Drosophila melanogaster: one gene and its partners. The protein of the gene in region 2 purifies or fractionates together with the protein of the main gene of each other region. This does not show direct contact. Each region holds a gene or a part of one and is shown on either strand. Other genes may lie near its edges.

Region 1 (9,217 bases), on a different chromosome or scaffold from region 2:
TAACACTCAGACTGTAATATCCGGACGAAGGTCGAGCTAAACCATTAGCTCCTGCTCGTTTCGGGGCAAGGCCAGGAGCACGCAGCCCACTCACCAATTTCGGTACTTTAAATACAGCGGAGTCATCCTGAAAAGTCAAAAATATGAGAATTAAACAGGTCGATAAGAAAAATAGTTTCGAAACGAACCTCTTGGGCTTGAGTTGGTCCACGCAATCCGCTCATAAGCTTGCTCGGCTGCGCACTGGGACGCCGCAGTCCACCGCCCAAACTAGGTCTTGGCAGGGCTCCAGAGCCAACGCCGCTCATTGTGGAGGACAAGTTGTGGAAAGATTTGGATTTAATACCCATAGGGCTCTTCAGCTCCCCGTTACCGTTGGCCGGCACTGTAACAGTAGTCGGCATAGCAGCGGCTGGAGTGGCGTTTAGTCCCGCTCCGGCTGAAGTTGCCTTGCTCACCGTAGTAAACTTCTGAAGACCACTGATGTAGCGAGGCCTGGACAAGGAACGCGGCTGGGGAAGAGTCGACGCAGGCGCTGGCTCGGCTAATAAAGGCGCTTCCTGCTGCTGCGGACGTCGTTGGATAAGGCTCTTTTCCTTGGGTTTTTTGTAGGTCAGATAGTTACTCGCACTAGCATCTGCGTTGTTGCTAATTGCTGTGGTCTGATCTCGACGAGAAAGTCGACCCGGTGGTGAACCCTGTCGCTGATCCTCCTCGTACCGAACATCTTCTACTAATTGCTTTTGCTCGTCCTCGAGTTGCTGTGGTTCATCGTCTATACAAGGCACAATAATTTCCGGCTGCAGTCGCATTTCTTTCGAAATCTTAATGGTCTTGAAGCGATCGCGATCCCGCTCTCTTCGCTCCGGCAGCTTATAGCTTGCCGGATCAATCTCTGCTGTCACCTGGGACTTTGGAGGCTCTTCCGCTGGTTCGGGATCAGGATCTGGTGCAGGCTGCTCCACTTGTGGCATATCTCTACGCTGGACGATGAATGAGGCAGAGTTGGTGCTGGTCGAACTTCCATTACTGCCGTGCATTGCACTAAGGTTGACATCGTCGTAGAGACGACTTCGGCGACTGAGCAGCCGTTCGCCACCACCGCCGCTGCTGTTGCTGCTGGAGTGGCTCTGATTTAGAACTGGGGTGTCCACCTTTTCGGCTGCCGACTGCTGCAATTCCTCTTCACGCTCCTCTGCCTCCGCCTCATCTCTATGGAAGCGCCGTTTGATGGTATCTAGCGACTTTTGCATCTTCAGTTGCTCCTCGTTTAGGGTATTCACCTTGCCCAGCTCGGCAAGCATATTCTCGAATTGCTCTTCGTCGCCCTGCTGGGCCAGCATCTCCACTTCCGCCTCAGCCAAGTCCATGACGCATTGCATCTGCCTGTGCTGTTCAGACATTTGCAGGTTGTAAGTGCCATCCAGCGGCTGTTCGATCTGCTCCAAGAGCTCCATAGTGTCCAGCACGAACTTCTCGCCGTTGAACGGAGCTGTTTTTGCCACGGGCTCAAAGGTGTTGTTTAATCGCCCTGGTGCGGTTCCAGTTGGTTTTTGCGGTGTTGCGCCAACAATTGGGGACAGGTTCATATCTCCCCTTCCCTTTAGGGTAGGGGTATATCCTGCCTTGTTATTATTGTTGTTATTGTGGTAGCAGTGTGAGCGCATGTTTGTTGTAAGTGGTGTGGAGGATTCCATGGTGAGCAAGGCCAGCTTCCTGTCAATATTTTCAGGCGTTTCACAGCGGCCCTCAGGAGTGTTGCAACCGTCGGTGAAGGTAGTATTCATCTGCCTACCTGTTAGCACCTGGGTTTCGTCCGCTGTAGTAGCACTCGCAGTGGGTCTTTTGAATGTCGCATTTCCATCGACTGGCAGAGACTCAGACTCTGATTGCAGCGCAGAAGTTGTAAGGCTATCCACGAGGTTAAAAGTTGTGTCGCCGATCATCTCCTCCCCTAAAATCATGGTACGCTGTAGGGCAGGACAAACTGCCGATACCACAACGGGCATCGTTCGATCTGCGGCCAGGGGAATGGACATACTGTCTGTGCTGTTGTCCATTGTGCTGCAGCCGGAAGCAGTTTTGCTCAGTGTCAACGATATTTCGTCAATTTGCCCGATGTGCGAGTCTTTGATAAGAGTCCCATCGTCCTCACACATGGTCAGCGACTCCAGCGCCTTGCGATCCCGGATCATGTCACTGAGCGTATATCCGCCTATGCTGCCGCCGATTCCCATGTTATCAGTTGTCTGGTTGGTAAGCGTAGTGGTAAGGTTTGGATCCTGCTCAAGACCAATTGTGGATTGAAGGAAGTTCAAGTTCGTAAAGTCTGCTGAGGTGATTAGCGAGTTGTTCATCCGTTCAGTGTTCATGGAGGAGCAGATGGAAGACGGCGGTGAGGTGTCTTGCAGGAAGGATTTGTGCATATTCGTCGTGACAAGACCGCCAATTTCCAGCTGAAGCATTGCTGGGGCACCCGCGACCGACCCGGTTCCAACACCGCTGTCATTTCCCGCTCCATTTTGGCTCTGAAAAAATAAGATACTTTAATATACAAATTAGTTGCAATTGCTTATTTGTACTTACGAAATCCAGATTCCGACGCTTTGGGCGAGTAAAGGTTTTCGAATTGTTTTTGAAGGCTTTCGTAAAATATAAAAGTTTAAAAATAAATTAGATCCTTGAGTTCTGCACTCGTTAAAGTAATGAATAGTAATGTATGGTGTCTTAACCGATAGGTGCAAGGTTTCTAAAAGCTATTTGTTTGAATTGTTTAATTTTTTTTGTTCATATTTAAAGGTCATCGCATCCAAACAGGATGTCATCATCAATGTCCAAGTCAAAGTTATTCTCATCGGCCACTAAAATATCCTCCATTTCATAGTCCAAACAATTTTGCCCGGTAGTCAATGGACCAATGGCTACTAATGGTGGCATATCGTTGAAGTTCTCACTGGGAAGATGGTCCACCTGGGAAAGGCTCATTTTCTGCACTGCCTTATTAAGAGGATTCAGCTCTTTTCCTGATAGGGGTCTAGAAATTTGGACATCCTCTTTAGACTTTCTGTCTAAAACTGTCACTGCAGGTTTATTTATTTTTTCTACCGACGGGTCGGTATTTATCATATTAGTTTCTGGTTTAAATTTAATGGTTTTTTTCGGGTCCGGCATAGTCGAAGTTATGCACAGCATGTCGTTGGTTATCAACCAGCCGGGGCTATTGGAAGTCTGCAATACGAATGTGCGCTGAAAGCGTCGTGGTTCCAGAGTATCCGATGATATCTCCTTAAAGTATCCCGTCAACGTAAAGATGCGTAGACTCGAAGTGAACACCTGGATGTCTAGCCCGACATTCTCTAAGTCTGTATGCATCAAAGGCAAGCGGCTTAAAGCGAGAAGTAGCGCAGCTCTACCCACTTGCAGCTTGGCGTTTTGTGCAAACGAGGAATGCTGGCGCTTCTGGTTTCTGTTGTACAGCTTGTAGCCGTAGACATAATTTAGTTGTACCGGCACGCTAAGCGAGAACATGGCTTGGTCGTCGTAATACTTCTTAAGTTTGAAACGCTCTTCGGTATCGTCAAAGAAAGTGTAGTATGAACTTATGAAGTCCTGGCAAAACTTTAAACCATTAGTCCCACCGCCTTGAAGTTGTTGAGACTTCGGAATATTATCAACAGCTTCTGTACTTTCCCCCAACTGCACACAGCCATGAACATTTTTCAACTGTGGTAGCATTTTTCGAATGACGTCCACGCTTAGCTTGGCCAAACCGTTTCCTGCCAAGAAGATCGTCTTGCAACTCAGTTTGTTGATGTAATTGAGTTCTCCCAAATCTTGAATCCTGTTTGCGCTTATGTCCAACCGCTCTAGGCTGGCAAAACTTTGGGAATTTCCCGCAAACGCTTTCAGGGAACACAAATAATTGTTGCTCAGTACTAGGCTGGTCACATGGGGAAATAAATGGTTTGAAAGAACTAGCACTGTTTCTAGCAGCTTGACCATATGCAGCGGACAAAAGTGCAGAGACAACTCCGGACTGGCGTGGAACCTGGAGAGATCTAAGGTGCGTGAATCCACCTCATAGCGTGATCTAAGGGCCTCCTGAATGGCAGTTGTAAATTCGTCTGTTATCTGGGCACACATCATCGATTTGGGCAGACCGGGTGTGACACGCACCTCGATTTTCTGGCACGTGTTAATAACTGCTACTTCCTCTTGCAAGCGTTTTAGGCGATTTGCGCTTAACAGGTTGTCCAACAGAAATTGTCCACGTGCCATATTATCTTCCGGTCCACTTCGCTTGAAGTTGAATATCTCCACCTTAATGGGCATCATCACCCACTTCAGTGCCACAAAAATTGAAGAATTGGAAACGCCGGCGCAGTTGGCGATGTTCACCGTGGACCATCCGGTCACAGTGGCCACGCGGTGGTCCTCTTCGGTGGAAGAGATCGTGTCCAGCACGGATCCCATTTGTTGCTCATTTCCAATCAGCTCTTGTACATATTCTCGAATTTTACTTTTTTCATTTAGATTTTTTCGCAAATCGTCAAGTGGCGACTGCGAATTCACGTGCTTTTTGAAGTTTTGGATCAAGCGGCTGTCCGGCTCGTGGGATTTGAAAGTGGCAAATATTTGCATCGCAAAGTTTTCAGGAAACTAGTAAAATTACAAAATCTTTTGAGGAAATAAACCCAGTAATTAAATTCCGTGCACACTACTAGCAATCTCCGGGAGTTTACAATTTTTTTAGTGTTAGTAAAGATCCAAAGGACGCTTCGCAAAAGCGATGTGTTCAGCACACTATTTGATATTTTACCGTTAAGTTAGCATTTAGCTATTTTTTAACTTACTGGATAAACGCCCTGAAGCTTTCATATATAATTATAAGTAATTGTTGTTTGTTAACGTAATTTTCTTACTTCCACTTCTACTATTGTTATCGCTTAAAAGAATATTTTGTATATATTATTTAAGCTATTTAAAATATTTATCTATGCTGAGTTTAACCATTGCATACATTTACAGGAATGACTATTAAGTATGAACTTTGTTGTAAATAGTTTTATTTAACTTATATTTTTAGCAATATTTGGAATTCTGGCATTCCACTTTGGAAAATCATTAAAAATAGCTCAGCATGACAATATTTCACTCAAATTAAATCGCCTAATCGATTTTTGATCCTCGTCTTTAGTTCGGTGGTAATTGTTTATTTAATTGTACGCAAATAGTTTATTTGCGTATTGCTTGATTGACTTTCGCTGGCTGGGCAGGAAGTAAATTGGATTTATATAATAATGTTTGCGTATAATGCGAGATTCTTGCCATATTAGCATAGCCAGTTTTTTTCCTTCAATATTATTGCCGTACCACGCACAGCTGTTTGCAATGGGAACGCGTGTGTGTGTGTGCGTATTGAGACTTGATTAATTACCGTAACAATAACATTGGCGCTGTTGCCAATTATGGCAATCGGCCACTTTGAAAGACAACGGTAACTACTGGCCAAGTAATGCTGCCCACATGCGACTTGAACTTTGTCAACGTAGCCGCCAGTTTAACCCAAATTTGATTTAGAAAGCGCAACTGCATGATGTGCTGCACATGTGTGTATGTTTGTGATCGGGTGCATCGGTATGTGTGGAAAAGGCTTACCCTCGTTGTTGTACTGCAAGTGCAATTGCTGCAACGGCGGCTGATTGTTCGTCTTCCACTGCTGCAATATGTTGGAGACATCGTCGTGGGTCTTATCCGCCAGAAATCTGCCAAGGAGTACCAGGCATATGAGTATTTATAGCATCGATGCCTCTGCCTGTGAAGTGCCAGCAGCAGTAGCAGCAGCTGCAGCAGCAACAACAACAGGAACAAAAACAACAGGAGTGGTTTCACTCACATATATGAATCATCCTTTAGTGCCTCATCGATGTCCAGGATATCCATGTCCAGCGATGGGTAAAACTTTATGCCTAGCTTAATAACACTTGATGAAGACCTAAATCATTGCCAGAAACGACAACAAAAAGGCCTTCGCTCGCTTGTCTGTTTGGCCAATACAAGATACTAATTTTGCTCAAAGCTGATAGAGATGAGCGATATCCGCGATTCCGTGGCGAGTCACTGGTATTTTTAAGCCGATGAGTCAATCTTGTGACTGTGAAAGCGAAAGTGAAAGTAATTATTGCAGCTGTTGGCAAAGTTAGCAAATTTCAACTTAAATATGAAGATAAATATTAAAATGATAACCTTTAATACCTAAATCATTGCATGCACGCTTGTTAAAGATTATATGTTAATTAAACGTTTTTATAATACAGACTGATTTGTAACTTTACTTGATTTGTAAATTATTTATTAAAATTAAAATTATCTCTAATATTCTTATTTTCATTGTTAATGCCTTTAATATAGATTTACATACATTTTGATTTAAATATGATTGGAATCCTACCTATCGACACCATTGTTTTGAATGCCGCAGATTTGTTCCCAGTCACAGTTAACCTCACGACGTTAATGGAGATGGCATATGAAACCTTATCGACTATCGAGTAATCATCGGATGCAGCTGACAACTCTGTGCGAATACGTTCACATTGACTACTTGGCAGGAGAGCAAGTGCCCAACATTTGTTGATTCTTTTGAAATTCCGGCCTCTATGGTTGGGAGATCATCGGGAAAAATGGAAAGATCAGTGGACGCCAGCATGGGAAAGAACTGCCGAGCCTGCGCCGAACACTCATCCATACTGGTGGACCTTTTCTCCAAGGAGATCTCTGATCCCCCCATTTGGGAAATGTTGAACTCAATTCTGCCGGAGATCTGTCGCGTGAAACGGGATGAAATGCCACAAAAGATCTGTCCTACCTGCCTGGTGGCCGCTCAAAATGCCTTTCACTTCCGTCACAAGTGTGAGCAGAGTTTTCAGTTCTTTTCCCAGCTCCTCCAGCTCGATAAATCAAACTCAAATCTGAGTAGATCCCATTGCAGAAGAGGTACTATGAACCCATTAATACCCTTCGAGATAGTTGGTTGCGAGGATCCATTGGACACAAATGTAACCAAATTGGACGCTAATCGGCCTGATGTAAAAACTGATATCGATGAGCCAACCGATGGAAAGGCAACTAATGGTCAGGAGAGTGAACCATTGCAAGAAGTTTTTGAAAGTAGGTCTATTCGATGTCATCCACTTTCACAAGAACTTCCATTGTACTGCTAAAATCTATTCTAGACTTGCCCGTTATATGCTAAAATTTAAATTTATTTTTTAGTAACAATGAACGATATTAAAACGGAAGATGAAGTATCCATTCAGGAGACATTTGAAGATGCCTTTGATGAAGAAAATGATAATAACAATACTGATAGCGAAAGGGAGGATTCAGACCAATGGACAGTGGGCTCGACTGAAGACCAAGATGAACCCTGGATTCCCGGCGGCGGAGGGCGCCAAACGGTTGGCGGCAATAATCAATCGCTTCTGTGCACAGAGTGTGGAGTGAGTTACTCGACTCAAAAGGCGTTGGCAAGGCACGTTGCCAAGCACAAGGAGCAAGGTGATACACAAAAGCCGCACCTCTGCGATTTCTGCGGTCGGGGATTTCGTACCAATGCCCAGCTAACGACCCATAGACGCCGTCATACTGGAGAGCGTCCTTTTAAATGCCCCCTCTGCCCGAAAGCTTATACGCACGGTCCGACTCTGAAGTCGCATATGCACACCCACGACGAGGAAAAGGGTCACAAATGTCCACAGTGCGACAAAACCTTTTACACGAGAGGCAATCTTAGGGCCCATATACAGAGGCACACTGGCGAACGACCCTATAAGTGTCCCGACTGCCCACAAACCTTTGCCAAAAACTCTGGCCTTAAGTTGCATAGCCGTCTGCACAAGGAAGAGCGACCCTTTAAATGTGAGCTCTGCGGCAAGGGATTCGTACAGAACCAGCATTTGATTACCCATTTGCGGGTCCACAACGGGGATCGCCAGTTCAAGTGCCCCGACTGCGACAAGTCGTTCTTCGAGAAATCGAACATGATGAAACATCAGCGAACCCATTCGGGTATAAAGCCATTTAAATGTGAGGAGTGCGGCCAAGCCTTTTCCCACAACCATCACCTTAAGAGTCATCTACGCATCCATACAGGCGAAAAGCCCTACAAGTGCGACCAGTGCGGCAAGGGTTTCAGTGCGAATCAGTCACTGATGAAGCATACCCTTTGGCACGTGGACAATAATGATCGGCCATTTAAATGTTCTCAGTGTCCCAAAGCCTATGACACTCAGCAGAGCTTACGGGGTCACGAGAAGACGCACAAAAACCCGGATGAGCCAAAAACGCTGCACCAATGCCCGCACTGCGACGTCAGGTTTGCTTTAAAAAAGACCCTGGATAAGCATATCACAAGCCACAAGATTCGACCCCACCCATGCCCGCAATGTCCAGAGGGATTTTTCTCCCAGAAGAGCTTAAAAAAGCACTTGCGACTTCACAACCTAAAGAAATAATATAAGATTATCCTGTAGCCCCAGCATAAGACCATTAGTTATAATAAGTGTTAAGTAGATATAACTACAGACTTCGTGTAAGGAAATCATTAAATTTGAACAATCTGATGTTACCAAAAATCATTGTTGTGGTATAATCGTAAGTTTATTGGTAAGTTATGTTATTTAAACAATCTAAAATTTCATTGTCCGTTCATTAAGGCAAGTTTTGTCTGTTGCACAGTTTCCAACTAATCCTGCGCCCTTCCGATTGCCAGCTGATGAATATTTCTATTTGCTATAACATAAATGCCTTGCTTACACATAATATTTGCTTACGTACAGATTTTGATTTTGATTTTGATTTTATTTTTGATTTTGATGAATCGCAACAGTTTCTCCCGAGATATGGGGGCTTTTTAAGCCGCCAACATAAAGGTGCGATATGTTTCCTTGTTTTTTTTTTTTTTTTTGATTATCAGTTAACAGTTTTGACCAAAACGGACCCAACAAGTAACACCGCATGCCTTAAAAACATTTATCTCTCGATTCGAATTAGTTGTGGGGTCCATATCGGAATTTAAAATCAATTAAGGATAAACTAAATAAAGAGAGAATAGAGACGATTTGTGTTTAAACATAGGTACGAGTACGGTTTCATTACAGTAATTACAATAGGTACAATAATCATATCGAATATGCGGTAAGTGTTTAAAATTAAT
Region 2 (6,573 bases):
TTCAAAGCAATGAAATCATTTCCATGGCTTGAGTACATTTACTCATTTACTTGAGTACATGTACCTATGGCCTCCGTTGCTTTGAGCTGCACTCCGATCACTGAATTGGAGGACTACATGGGTACGCACCTGCTGGACAACTTCACCTCGCAGCCGACGTCCTGGAAGCTCTGCACGACCCGCCGCTCGAAGTCCTTGTGCACCTTGTGCAGATGGAGGACCATCTCCACGTCGGTGCCCCGGTCACGGAGCTTTTGCTGGAGCTGATCCGGAGACAGTTCCGGGTGGCGTAGCTGCTCGAACTCATAGCGGGACAGCTTGGTGACGACCAGGGCCCGCTTTAGCTTGAAGTTGGTCGGCGTATATTTAGCGTACTCTGTTCAAAATGGCAATTGCAAGCGAAAGACCTCGTTAGTCCGATCAAATGTGGGTCCTCGTCACGGGAAATTTACTCAAACCCTCGGGAATAATCTTCCTGCCGTTTTGAAGCATCCTACGGCCGAAATCGATGTGTAACTACTAGGTTTTAATGGAAATTTCCCGGAACAGCTGATAAACAACACAGTGCAAGTGGAAAGTATTTTCCCTCTAAAACTTTTAATGAAACAATGTTATGTATTTGGTTTGTACCAATCATGTTTTTCGTAGATTTTCCTAATGGTTTGACATACTGCAGTGAGCTTTAAATACCATTATTAAAGATAAGTAAAATCAAGCTATCCAGTATGTAAAATTTGTTTGTTTATAATCAATATAATTATAGCATAACAAAGTTTAGTGACACACACTTTGAGATCTGCGTTCAATACTTGTTGAAAAGTTGGTTAAGTTAAGTTAATCCGGAAACCAAAAAGGATATTTAAGATAATATCCACTTTCTGAGCGAATAATTTTGTCAGCCAGTGTGCGTGGGGAAAGTTCATCGTGACAAAGAATTTGGCGAAAAAGTGTTTACTGATAATCTTCGGCTTGGTCGGCGTCAGATGCGATTAAGGCTGTCAAGGCGAGCCTACGGATCTGGTGATATGGTATTAGTTTACTCCAGCACATGCCTAAGGCTGATAATGGAGGCGGCAACGAAAACACAGATAGCTAGGGTGTGTAAAACACCTCAAGTTGTGCCATTTCGGCTCCGGAAACCCACACATCCTTACCTTTGGAAAACTGTTGGAGCAACTGCTTCGACTTCAACATGCTTGGCACTACCGAAGACGAACAACGCACATTTAGGGTACTGTGTTCAGTTTATTTCGTATTCGTTAAGAAAATCGTTTGGGAAAAAGACTACGCTATAAAAGTAACCAAATGCAAAGAATCGATGGCTCTTTCTTCAGTTGGCCACTTTCGAATGCTTTTGCACAAACAACAAAATAACTGCGTGTTCGTTCTACACTCGACAAAGCACAAAACATAGGTTGAGGTTAGTGTTTAGCACACTATCCTAAGTTACGATCACTACTAACTATCCCGCTATCCGATCCCGATGATCATTTTCACGTCCGCTCTCTGGGTGCTTGGCAGATTAACTGATTATTACTCTGTTCGTCTCCGGCACATCAGTTATGTATGTATATAAAATCGCCTTCGCTGTAAATTTATCGCCGTTTGTTTCTATTTTCGTCCGCTTTCGCTTCTCACATCTCGTTCGTCCGTGTGTACTTCTTGTTGTGCATTACTGATAAGAGGCCCAGCCTGTTCTTATCAGCCGAAATATGTGTTATATATATAAAAAAAAGAGGCAGAAAGCGACTATTCACCCCTGCCATTCACTGGGCATCGTCGAAATCGTCTTCTTCTTGCCTGCGTCGACTCGCAATTCGCACAGAAAGTGCCCGCCAATCCGGCGAACTTAATTTAAACATGGGCTGCTGAGTACTTAGAAATAACAGAAGTCAGATAGATCCCTTAAATGCAACTTGATGTCGGTTTTCTAGTTAAAACGTTGCAGTTGGTCCCTTCCTCCTTCACGTTCAGGCAATGCGACACTTCGGGACTCCTCCATCGGTCCGTTTATCCAGTCGATGTTCTTAAATAAGAAAACCGTAAACTTATTTAAAAATACAAAGTTAATATGAATCATTTCTTGAAGCTTAATGCCTTTTTTCTTACACGTGCAGTTTGTAAGGCTTTCTTTCAAATCTCTATTGTGTGGTATTAGATTACACATGATTTCGAATATTACCTTGAAGATGTCACACGAGTCTCCTTGGTTGTTTTGCTGGGCAACGCTCTTGAGCAAGAGCATCACGTTGTGGGCCATTTTACTGATTTTCATGCTCTCGGAATCAACTGCTGCGGGTTTCAGGTCAGTCTGCGGCTTATTAATATCCTGCGCTTCTCCAGCAAACACATTCATCGAGTTGTCCGTGTAACGCGTGATGGTTTCACAAGGCAAATGGTTCTTGACACGATTATCCGGAATGTGGGACACCGAATCGATTAAAGAGCCGATCGAGGTGGAGCCGGTCCAGTCGTAGTGGTCAGGTCCCATGTAGTTGCGGCTGCTACGCGGATCAGTGGGTGCCTGGTGAGTATACTGGAAATGTTTATTTACATCAATGTCAAGGTCAGTTTGTTGATTTGAATGGATTTCTTGACTGCTGAAGGCATTGTAGGCGTAGCGCAGGACCTCCTTCTTGGCAATCTGGGGCTGGTGCTGATGACGATGGAATTCATTCCGTTCATGGTGATTATACTGACGATTGCGTCTCTTGTTAAAATTATTACGAAATCGAGAGCCTTCTCTCAGATCAAGGCGCGACTTAACGTGACCACGTGCCTGGTCACTGAGCCCCAGTTGAGCCGCCGCTGATGGCCGGTTGACGTTGTTACCATTCATGCGCCACGTGGCTGAGCCTTGTGAGGCCTCCGAGCTTTGAGACTCCGTCTCGCAGTACACCTTATCAAAGTCATTAATCTCAAAGTTGATTTGCGAAACATTGGAATCGAACTCGGTTAGAATTGATTGGCCATTTGCTAGCACGGAACCCTGGAAATCTTCAACTTCAACATCGGTATCGCCACCCTGATCCTGGTCCTTGTAGGTTTGCAAGTGCCCCAGCTGGCGATTATCGCCCTTGGGGGCTGCATTACTCGAGTATCGTGGTGGTATTCTGGGTTTTGGTACTACGCATTGCTCGAAGTACTCATCTGTCAGATAAAAAAAACGAATATTTTAAGGACGATCACAAATTGAGCAGACATTTTTACGTACCCAAAGACAGAATGACTCCGGATGCATTGAAATCCGTCATCGTGCACTCGCAATTAAGCCTAAAATATAGAAACAAAAAAAGCTTGGCGCCGCGTCAGTCTGGTCCGCAAGAAAAACAGTTAGAACCACCGCGTTTGTAGAGCTGCAAGTGCTGCAATCGAATATTACCACCCGGATAAATCGAAGTAAAACTTCTTTGCACTGGTCAGCTTTTGAGTTTTTACACCCGTTACTCGTAGTGTAAAATAGTATACAAAAGCATATTCTTGATCAGGATCAATAGCCAAGTCGAGCACCTTTGCCACACCCCTCCTTATAATTACAAAACGCTCAAAACACACTTATGAACAATTTTTAATTTTTTCTCATTTTATTTAGCAGTATCTATCATGATAAATTTTCGTGTTCGCATATCCACTAGCTGAGTAAGAGTATTTTCTAGTCGGGTAGTATTTGTCTAAGATCTATTCATTTTATTTAAAGTTTATTAAACATAAAATATTATTAGTGTTTTATTTGTGTGAATTCTTTTTCTTTGTTTATTTTCTTCTTTATTAAATTAAATCAAGTATTGACTTAAGTTTAATATGGGGCAATAACTTGTATGTATTTACTTAAATCGTTCAATGCGAACTTGTTTTGGTAAATCAGTTTTTCATAACAGTGCGCCACCTTGAAAACAGACCACAAACGCAGGCGTTAGGCGTTTCAGTATTCTTGAAAGTACAAGCAGCGTGCACACTGCACCACCAATCGCCGCCAACTTCACTGGCTTCTCTTCACTTTTTTAAAGAACGTGGAGCGAACATCACCGCATTGGAAACGATTAAAAAAATATATATAAAAATGTAAGTATTATAGATATGATAGGCGACCGGTGAGTGCAGCGATTATAACTGCAAATCGAGTTCTACTGGCTTGTTTGCAGAACTCAATGTTGCAAGATTAATTTGTGATGCGCAGGGAAATGCACTTCACCGATTGCAATTCAAATTGCAGTCACGTGGTCGAGATTCCATTGCAGTCTCAACAAATTAAAAATTAAAAAAGAACGTTAGCTAAACGATGCGTTTGCTTATATTGCAGGTGAATCTGTGATTACTAGGCGCTGCGTTAAAGCGCTGGCATTTGTGAATTGGTAAGTTTCATCATTGTATTTATTTATATTTTTGTTAAATAATATTAATATTTTCATGCGAGCATGAGTCGCTGGTGTAAAGAAACTACTACTTTAGCTAGTGCTTTTTACTTGCTCGCAGAAAAACGTGCTTTGCCCAAGCATAACCCAAATTTAAAAAACCCGAGTTTGCGGTGCATATTATTTTCGTGAAGCTGACAGTTTAAACCCTCTTAACTAGCTAAGTTTAGTATTTGCGAATATGGCTAACCCAGCATTCCATTTTCAGAAACAAAATGGCCTCTTATGCTCAACACGTGTTTTCTGGCAGAGTTGGAGAGAGACAGACGGTAAGAATTCGTTCCAAATCCCAAATTAGCCCTTCTCAGTTATCTGATGATTTATAATTCTATTTTCTGACATCTCTTATGAACCGTTGTGATTCAAATCAGTTATAACTAATTCTGACACATTCGACTCTCAACTAAATATAATTTTTACTTGTGGCCGTGACTTATGAGAACTCATCTATTACTTGCAGATCGGTCTTTCGATTTGGATTCGGAATATAAATGAGGTTATCAGCGTGAAATGGTAATTATTCTCTTCATTTATGAAAACTACTTAAAATTTCGTGATGAATGACCCTATCATCATCTTTCGACTGAAAATCATTTTGATGCTATACTAGTTTTCACTGAATTTTAAACGCTTTAAAAAAACCTGTTAAAAAGATTGTTACATTTGAATAACACAAATATATTTTAATTTCAGTTCATTGCAACGTCAATATCATGTATCAAACGTGGCTCACTAACACAGTGAAAAAGGTAATAATTCGGTTTAAGATAATAAAAAAATTTAGTTTAAATTTTATGTGTAAATTGGACAATTAATTGTGTTGTGATGAATGAAACTTACACCATCTTTCGACTGAAAAATGTTATGAAGCTATACGAGTTTTTACTGAAACCCCTTCATTTTATTATTTTTGTGTTTTATAAGTTTTTTAGAAAATCGGTTGCTGCTCTTTATAACCATTTAATTTTTGTCATTTTGCAGTGTTCAAGAAAACCACCTTTGATTGTCGCGTCATATGCCCAAACAAGGATCTCTCCTTTGAAAAGGTAAATTATACTCTAGAACGAAATAATATGTAAATGATGCTTTTAAAATTTCTGACATCTCTAATGAACCGTTGTGATTCAAATTTTTCTAATATAATTAACTGATCATTTTAAAATCGCTTAAACGATTGAGTTATATTTGAATAACTACTTATTTGTATTGTTTTTGATTTTTTTTTTTTTTTTACAGATGTGAAACATGCGTAGCAAAATGAATCCGTCAATGGTTCATTTATAAATTCCAATATCTAAAAAGGTTAGTACGAAAAGAGATTCTGTTTAGCGGAAATGAAGATTTCAATGATGATCACTTAAACCATTCACAGACACCATATAAAGGTCAAGCGCTGGCAATCTTCTTCAATATTCTTTTGGAGATAGAGCGTCTTGTTTGACTGGTTATGGGCCCTGGTTAAAAACTTGGCACTGAGCTTCATAATGCATTCTAGTATTAATGAAATTAGCCTGCGAAACCAAACTTATCGTTCCTGTTGTTATCTTTTCAGGTTGGCAACCTTGGATGAACACAATTTGTATCTTGTGGAATCACGAATAAATAAAATTCATATGTGTTCTTAAAAATCGTTTTTTACTAAGTTTGCTCGCTCCCGCAATGCTAGTTCCTGGTTCTGCTTGGCAATCATTCGCTCGCCCTTCGACTTCTTGCCTATGCCCAGCTTCGGCAATCCTCTATTTAGACCCTCGAGAAGGACGCACGCCTTGCACGGCTGCTGTGAGGAAACGAAGCCACATCGGGTGCATGTGCCACGCTCGGGCTTCTTTACCGTGTCCTTGAAGCGAAGCTGTTCGCCAGAGTAGATGATGTCCATTATAACCGATGGTCGCACTTTCTCCAAATCCTTGAGAAACGCTCGAGCGTGGCCGCGATACGCATTGGGGGCGAATACGCACTCCGTTGAGAAGTAGACCAGCTTTTTGTAGTGGGCGTACATCACGATTTCTTTCTCGTAGCTGTACTTGAGGGGCTTCACTCGGGGAATGGTATCCTCGCCCCCGCCGGTGCGGATGCTCGTGCAGCGTCGCAGGCGCGCCGTGTCCCCACGGAGCACGTTCATCAAGACAGTCTCCGCAATGTCATCTGCATTGTGGCCTGT
Region 3 (5,103 bases), about 15 Mb from region 2:
GGATTAGGATTAATGTAGACTTACTATATAAACTTACTATTTTGGCCTTCATTCATTATTTTATTTTACCTTCTCGAAGGTGTACATTGCGGAAACGGCGGAACCCAATCTGCGGAGTCTGCTGATCGGCGCGCCCTATGTGGCCTACTCAAGCGGCATCCTAATGGTCTACTCCCTGGGCTCCATGATGTACTGGCGTAGTGTTGCGTGGTGCGCCAACGTGCTGCCCCTGCTGTCCATGGTGTCTATCTCGTTTATACCGGAGACTCCGGCCTGGCTACTCCGCAATGGCCACGAGAAGCGTGCGCTGCAGGCCCTCTCGTTCCTGCGGGGCAGCGAGATCAGTGCGCAGAAGGAGCTGAATGATATGAAGCAGAGGCTGGCCAAGGAGCGGGTGACCACCAAGACGAACGAGAACATCTTCCAGCTGTGCTGCCAGCGCGTGGCCATCAAGCCGCTGGTCATTGTGATCGTGTTCTCGCTGCTGCAGATGTTCTCCGGCACGTTCATCGTGATCTTCTATGCCGTGGACATGATCTCGGAGTTCGGAGCGGAGTTCGACTCCAAGCAGGCGGCCATTGCGACGGCAGTTGTCCGGGTGATCTGCTGCATGGTCTTCTGCGTAGTCCTGATCTTCGTTCGCCGCCGCAGGATCATGATAGTGTCGGGAATCGGCTCCGGCTTGTTCTGCCTGGTGCTCAGTGTCTATCAGTATGCCAGATTCGATCAACCGAAAATGTCGTACGACGTATTCGTTGGTGCCGGCTGTCTCTTGGGCTACATCATCTTCAACACGGCTCTGATGGTGATGCCCGGCATTATGATCGGCGAGCTCTTCCCGGCTAGGATACGCGGACGGACTGCCGGCGGAGTGTTTGCCTCCATGAACGTCGCTCTGTTCATCTTCGCGAAGAAGTTTCCCGCTTTGCAGGCCATGCTCAAGATGCGCGGCGTGTTCCTGGTCTTCGGCGTGTCCAGTTTCCTGCTCACTGCCTTTATGTGCCTTTTCCAGCCGGAGACGAAGGGCCGCAGCCTGGAGCACATCGAGGACTATTTCAACGGGGACAACTGGCTCTGGTTCCGGCGGGATCGAGGCTACAAGACGGTCAACCTGCAGCCCCTGGAGCCATTGAAGGACACCCGGGGGCTGGAGGCCTAGGTCGGGGGGCTTTAGTCTTAAAACAGGTCTTAGCTTAGCTAGTTTTAGCCATACTCATAGTTCTAGCCGCAGTGCCTCGTAGTCGCCCTAGACTCGCTCGATTTTCCAGTGACCCCCAATGGGCCACTCCGACAGGGAATCTTCAAATGTTAGGTTACCAATTCAAATTGTGATCGCTATGCTTTAAATTGTGTCTAATTGTTAATTAAAATTATGATTAGAAATAAACAACTTGAAAAATAAAAGTCATCATTTGTTTTTCGGGCAATTTGCAGAAAATGTTTGCAATAAACTTGTTTTTAAGTGTTTGAACATCTTGACTTTTTTAAACTTTAAATAAATATTAAGGGTACTCACGTAGATTAGTAGCGTTTTTGTATTTCAAATGGTGGTAGTAATATTTTTGTTTCTTTCTTTCTGGAGAGTTTTTTTCTGACCACCCGAGGACGGTCACTCTAATTCGAGAATCGCGGGAAACATGGACAGCGTGAGTTGAAAATATTTAGTTTTTTAGCAATTTAGCATAGCAACTATTTGTTTAAAGGATTTGAAAGCCAAGGTCGAGAGCTGCGCCCGTACGGCGGATACCTTCACACGCCTGTACTACGCCTCCGTGGACAACCGACGCCAAGTAAGTAGAGATCCGCCTTGAAAGTCTGCATTTCATGGGAAAACGAAACTCAAATAGATTCCACCTGCAGCAAATTGGACGCCTCTATTTGGACAATGCTACGCTTAGCTGGAATGGAAACGGGGCCATCGGCCGCCAGATGATCGAGAGCTACTTTCAGGAGCTGCCATCCTCAAACCACCAGTTGAACACCCTGGACGCGCAGCCTATTGTGGATCAGGCTGTGTCCAACCAGCTGGCCTACCTCATCATGGCCAGCGGCTCCGTCAAGTTCGCAGATCAGCAGTTACGCAAATTTCAGCAGACTTTCATCGTTACCGCCGAGAATGATAAATGGAAGGTCGTCTCCGATTGCTACCGAATGCAGGAGGTCTGAGATCCACACACTTGTATTTTAAGCTAAGCTAAAGTTCTTACGTCGTAACGAGTTTATTAACATATCTAAGCTCTTATAAATAGATTGACTTCCTATTTGTCCGCCTCTGTCTTGGGCTTCTTGGTGGCCGGCTCGTCGGCGGGTAGTTTTTCGGAGAAGATGGCCTTTGGCTGCGTCTGCTTGTAGGCCGGTGCTATCCAGTAAGGATTCTCGGCTGCGTCCTTGGCATACTTCAAGATGGCTTCCCTGGGATCCTGGTCGTCGTCCACCCGCTTGCTCAGGCCCAGATTGCGGATGACATAGGAGGAGAGGGTGCCGCCGGAGCTGGCCACGCGGCCGCCCTGACCGCTGGTGATGGGCAAGTCCGGTCGCTGGGACTTGACAGGATCCATACGGGCCTTCTCCATCCGCTTACGCGAGGTACGGGACTTTTCCTGCCTGAACAATGGCAGGGCGTGCGGCGTAATGATCTGGGAGACTCCCACCATCTCCATGGGCTGCCTCTTGCGATGCGTCTTCACTACGCACAGCTTGGCGCCCCGGATGCTGCGGTGCTCATCGTAATAGCACTTAATGGTTCCATTGCCACAGCTCACGAACAGTTGGTTGAGCTTTGGGTGCCACAGCGTTTTCACCACGTGCGCGTTGGACACGGGAATCCGCTGCACTTCCTCGTAGCTCTTAGTGCTGTAGAAATACAGGTTCGCTTCGGCCTGGCCCTTCGGAAGCGATTCTCCGGTGACTAGCAGACGGTCATCTGGACTAAAGCAGCAATCTGTTGTGTCGTAGCGGGAGAACAGGTTTGTCCAGGTATGCAGCGGCTGTTTGAACTGCCGCAGATCCCAAAGCTTCATGGTCTCGTCGTTGCTGCGAGTGGCCAACTGCTGACCCATGTACGAGAACACAATGGAGGTGATCTCCGAACCCTTCTGATGCGCATCCCTGACGCAGTGCGTGGTGTTCACAAACATCTTGCGCGTGTCCCACGTCTGAATGGAACCATCCACGCAGCCCGCTGCTATGAGTGTGGCGTCCCTGTTAAAGTTGCATGATGCTGCGTTGGTGCGGAGGCCTCCCTGCGCCCTTGTCTTGATCACCTGCAACTGTTCCTTGGACTTCAATCCCTGCCAGATGCGCAGAGTACCGTCGAGAGCTGCGGTCAGGAACTGCTCCCTGTTAAATGGATGCCAGCAGCCGGAGGTCAACTGTGCCACGTGGCCCTTGGTGCGCGACATGTCCGAGATATACTGGTCGCCCTTGCAGCACTCCAGTTTCTCGAATCCATCGCGGTCGAGGACCTTGGCCTGGGCGTTTCCGGAGATGACCAGGATCATGTCGCCGGTCACGGAGTACTGGAGAGAACGTATGGGATGGTTCTCGCACGGCTGCAGTTGCCGGAAGCTACGCATGCTCGAGTCCATGCCGGCGAAATCCCAGAAGCACATATCGTAGTCTATGGAACCAGAGACCAAGCGGGCACCCGAGGGATCGCCAGCCAGGGCAAGGACAGCGCGGGAACCGTGCTGCATCTGCACCTCGTGTGTGTAGGGTATGCGCTTAGCAAGGCTTTGTTCGTCATCTGAATCTTCATCGGACGAATAATCATCGTCATCGGAGTCTTCGTCTTTGGACGATTCCTTCGTGGCTTTCTCCTTGTCTGTGGTCACAGCTGGTGGTAGGGGACCTATTACGTCCTCCTCTTCCTCGTCTTTCTGGTCATCCTCCTTCGGCTTGGACTCCTCCCTTTTTTTGTCCATTCCCGGGCGGGTAACTCTCGCCTTTTCTATCTGCTCGTTGATGTCGAACACCTTGGCCGCCTTGCGACCAAAGCCACTGATGCCCATCACTTCCTTGAGGTGCTGGCTCTCCAGATCTTCGGCCACGTCCTCGATCTGCCGAATCATCTGCTCCTTGTCCATTTTCTTGAATCCTCCGCCATTTCCGCTGGCTTCAGTGGACTCCTTTGCATCTTCCGCCTCGGTTTCGTTGGATCTTGGCTCCGCAGGAGGTACGTTTACATTCAGTTTGATTTTCCCGAAGGAAATTTTACCGCGTTGCATAGTTTTAAGGCCCCACGCTAAGTGGATTTTCAAATTTTTAATTAAAACTATATTTCTCTGAAAATATGCGGTAAATATTTTGTAAACAAGTGAATTAAGTGACCGTTTATATTCGGACTGTCAATTTGGTATTTTAAAAGATCGAGCGAATTGTTATGGTCTTTAAATAAGCTCTGGCTTGCCCATTAAAATTTTTCAATTTAATAATGACTCATATATTGTTCATGTATTGCAAACAAGATATATATAAACAATAAAGGAAACTGCATTGGAATATTAAGAGTTTATATCGATTGCAATTTAAGAATAGTGCACTCAAAAATACTAAACACACATACGGTCACTCTAATATAGCTGACTGGCGTCTAACCTAAAATTAGGCGCGCAGTGTTGTTTTGTGTCTGCCGGAATTATTGTAAATTGGTGACAATTTCGCAAGGCGGCGTAATACATAGTTGATCTATTATCTTGTTACTGGAGAGGAAGAAGTGCAGGATGACAGACTCTCTGGAGTACAACGACATAAACGCCGAAGTGCGCGGAGTCTTGGTGAGTCGCAAAAAAGCCGGCGTATTTTGTCACATTTCGCATGACCGAGGTTTTCCATTTCCCTGCGCGCAAAAAAGTGTTCCGGACGCCTAAAGATGACCGAGCAGAACATCATCTTCAAGAACACCAAGACCGGCAAGGTGGAGCAGATCTCGGCAGAGGACATAGACCTGATCAATTCGCAGAAGTTCGTGGGCACCTGGGGACTGAGGGTGTTCACCAAAGGCGGCGTGCTCCACCGCTTCACCGGATTCCGCGACAGCGAGCACGAGAAGCTGGGCAAGTTTATCAAGGCTGCCTACTCGCAGGAGATGGTCGAGAAGGAGAT

The links.
Region 1: the proteins of Boot (region 2) and Nxf3 purify together in Drosophila melanogaster (affinity purification with western blotting; 2 studies listed by BioGRID, with this or other methods). This does not show direct contact.
Region 3: the proteins of Boot (region 2) and Nxt1 purify together in Drosophila melanogaster (affinity purification with mass spectrometry, with the first as the bait; one study listed by BioGRID). This does not show direct contact.

The regions. Positions count from the first base shown.
Region 1 is NT_037436.4:13,962,072-13,971,288, reverse strand, and holds the start of Nxf3 (nuclear export factor 3), read right to left. Parts: upstream 6,087-9,217; 5' UTR 5,944-6,086; coding exon of another isoform or gene 5,897-5,943; intron 5,766-5,896; coding exon of another isoform or gene 5,659-5,765; 5' UTR 4,642-5,658; coding exon 2,794-4,641; 3' UTR 2,643-2,793; coding exon of another isoform or gene 2,587-2,642; intron 2,529-2,586; coding exon of another isoform or gene 189-2,528; intron 128-188; coding exon of another isoform or gene 1-127. Other genes in the region: ssp2 (short spindle 2), read right to left, coding at 1-127, 189-2,528, 2,587-2,642, 5,659-5,765, 5,897-5,943; Meics (meiotic central spindle), read left to right, coding at 6,660-7,170, 7,276-8,516.
Region 2 is NT_033778.4:9,091,278-9,097,850, forward strand, and holds Boot (bootlegger), read right to left. Parts: upstream 3,382-6,573; 5' UTR 3,255-3,381; coding exon 3,215-3,254; intron 3,151-3,214; coding exon 2,183-3,150; intron 2,027-2,182; coding exon 1,931-2,026; 3' UTR 1,229-1,930; downstream 1-1,228. Other genes in the region: Nadk2 (NAD kinase 2, mitochondrial), read right to left, coding at 130-376, 453-492; Ctu1 (cytosolic thiouridylase subunit 1), read right to left, coding at 6,034-6,573.
Region 3 is NT_033778.4:23,808,482-23,813,584, reverse strand, and holds Nxt1 (NTF2-related export protein 1), read left to right. Parts: upstream 1-1,610; 5' UTR 1,611-1,637; coding exon 1,638-1,646; intron 1,647-1,703; coding exon 1,704-1,790; intron 1,791-1,847; coding exon of another isoform or gene 1,848-1,860; coding exon 1,861-2,166; 3' UTR 2,167-2,258; downstream 2,259-5,103. Other genes in the region: pippin, read left to right, coding at 80-1,159; CG5543 (uncharacterized protein), read right to left, coding at 2,259-4,226; Ssrp (structure specific recognition protein), read left to right, coding at 4,722-4,775, 4,853-5,103.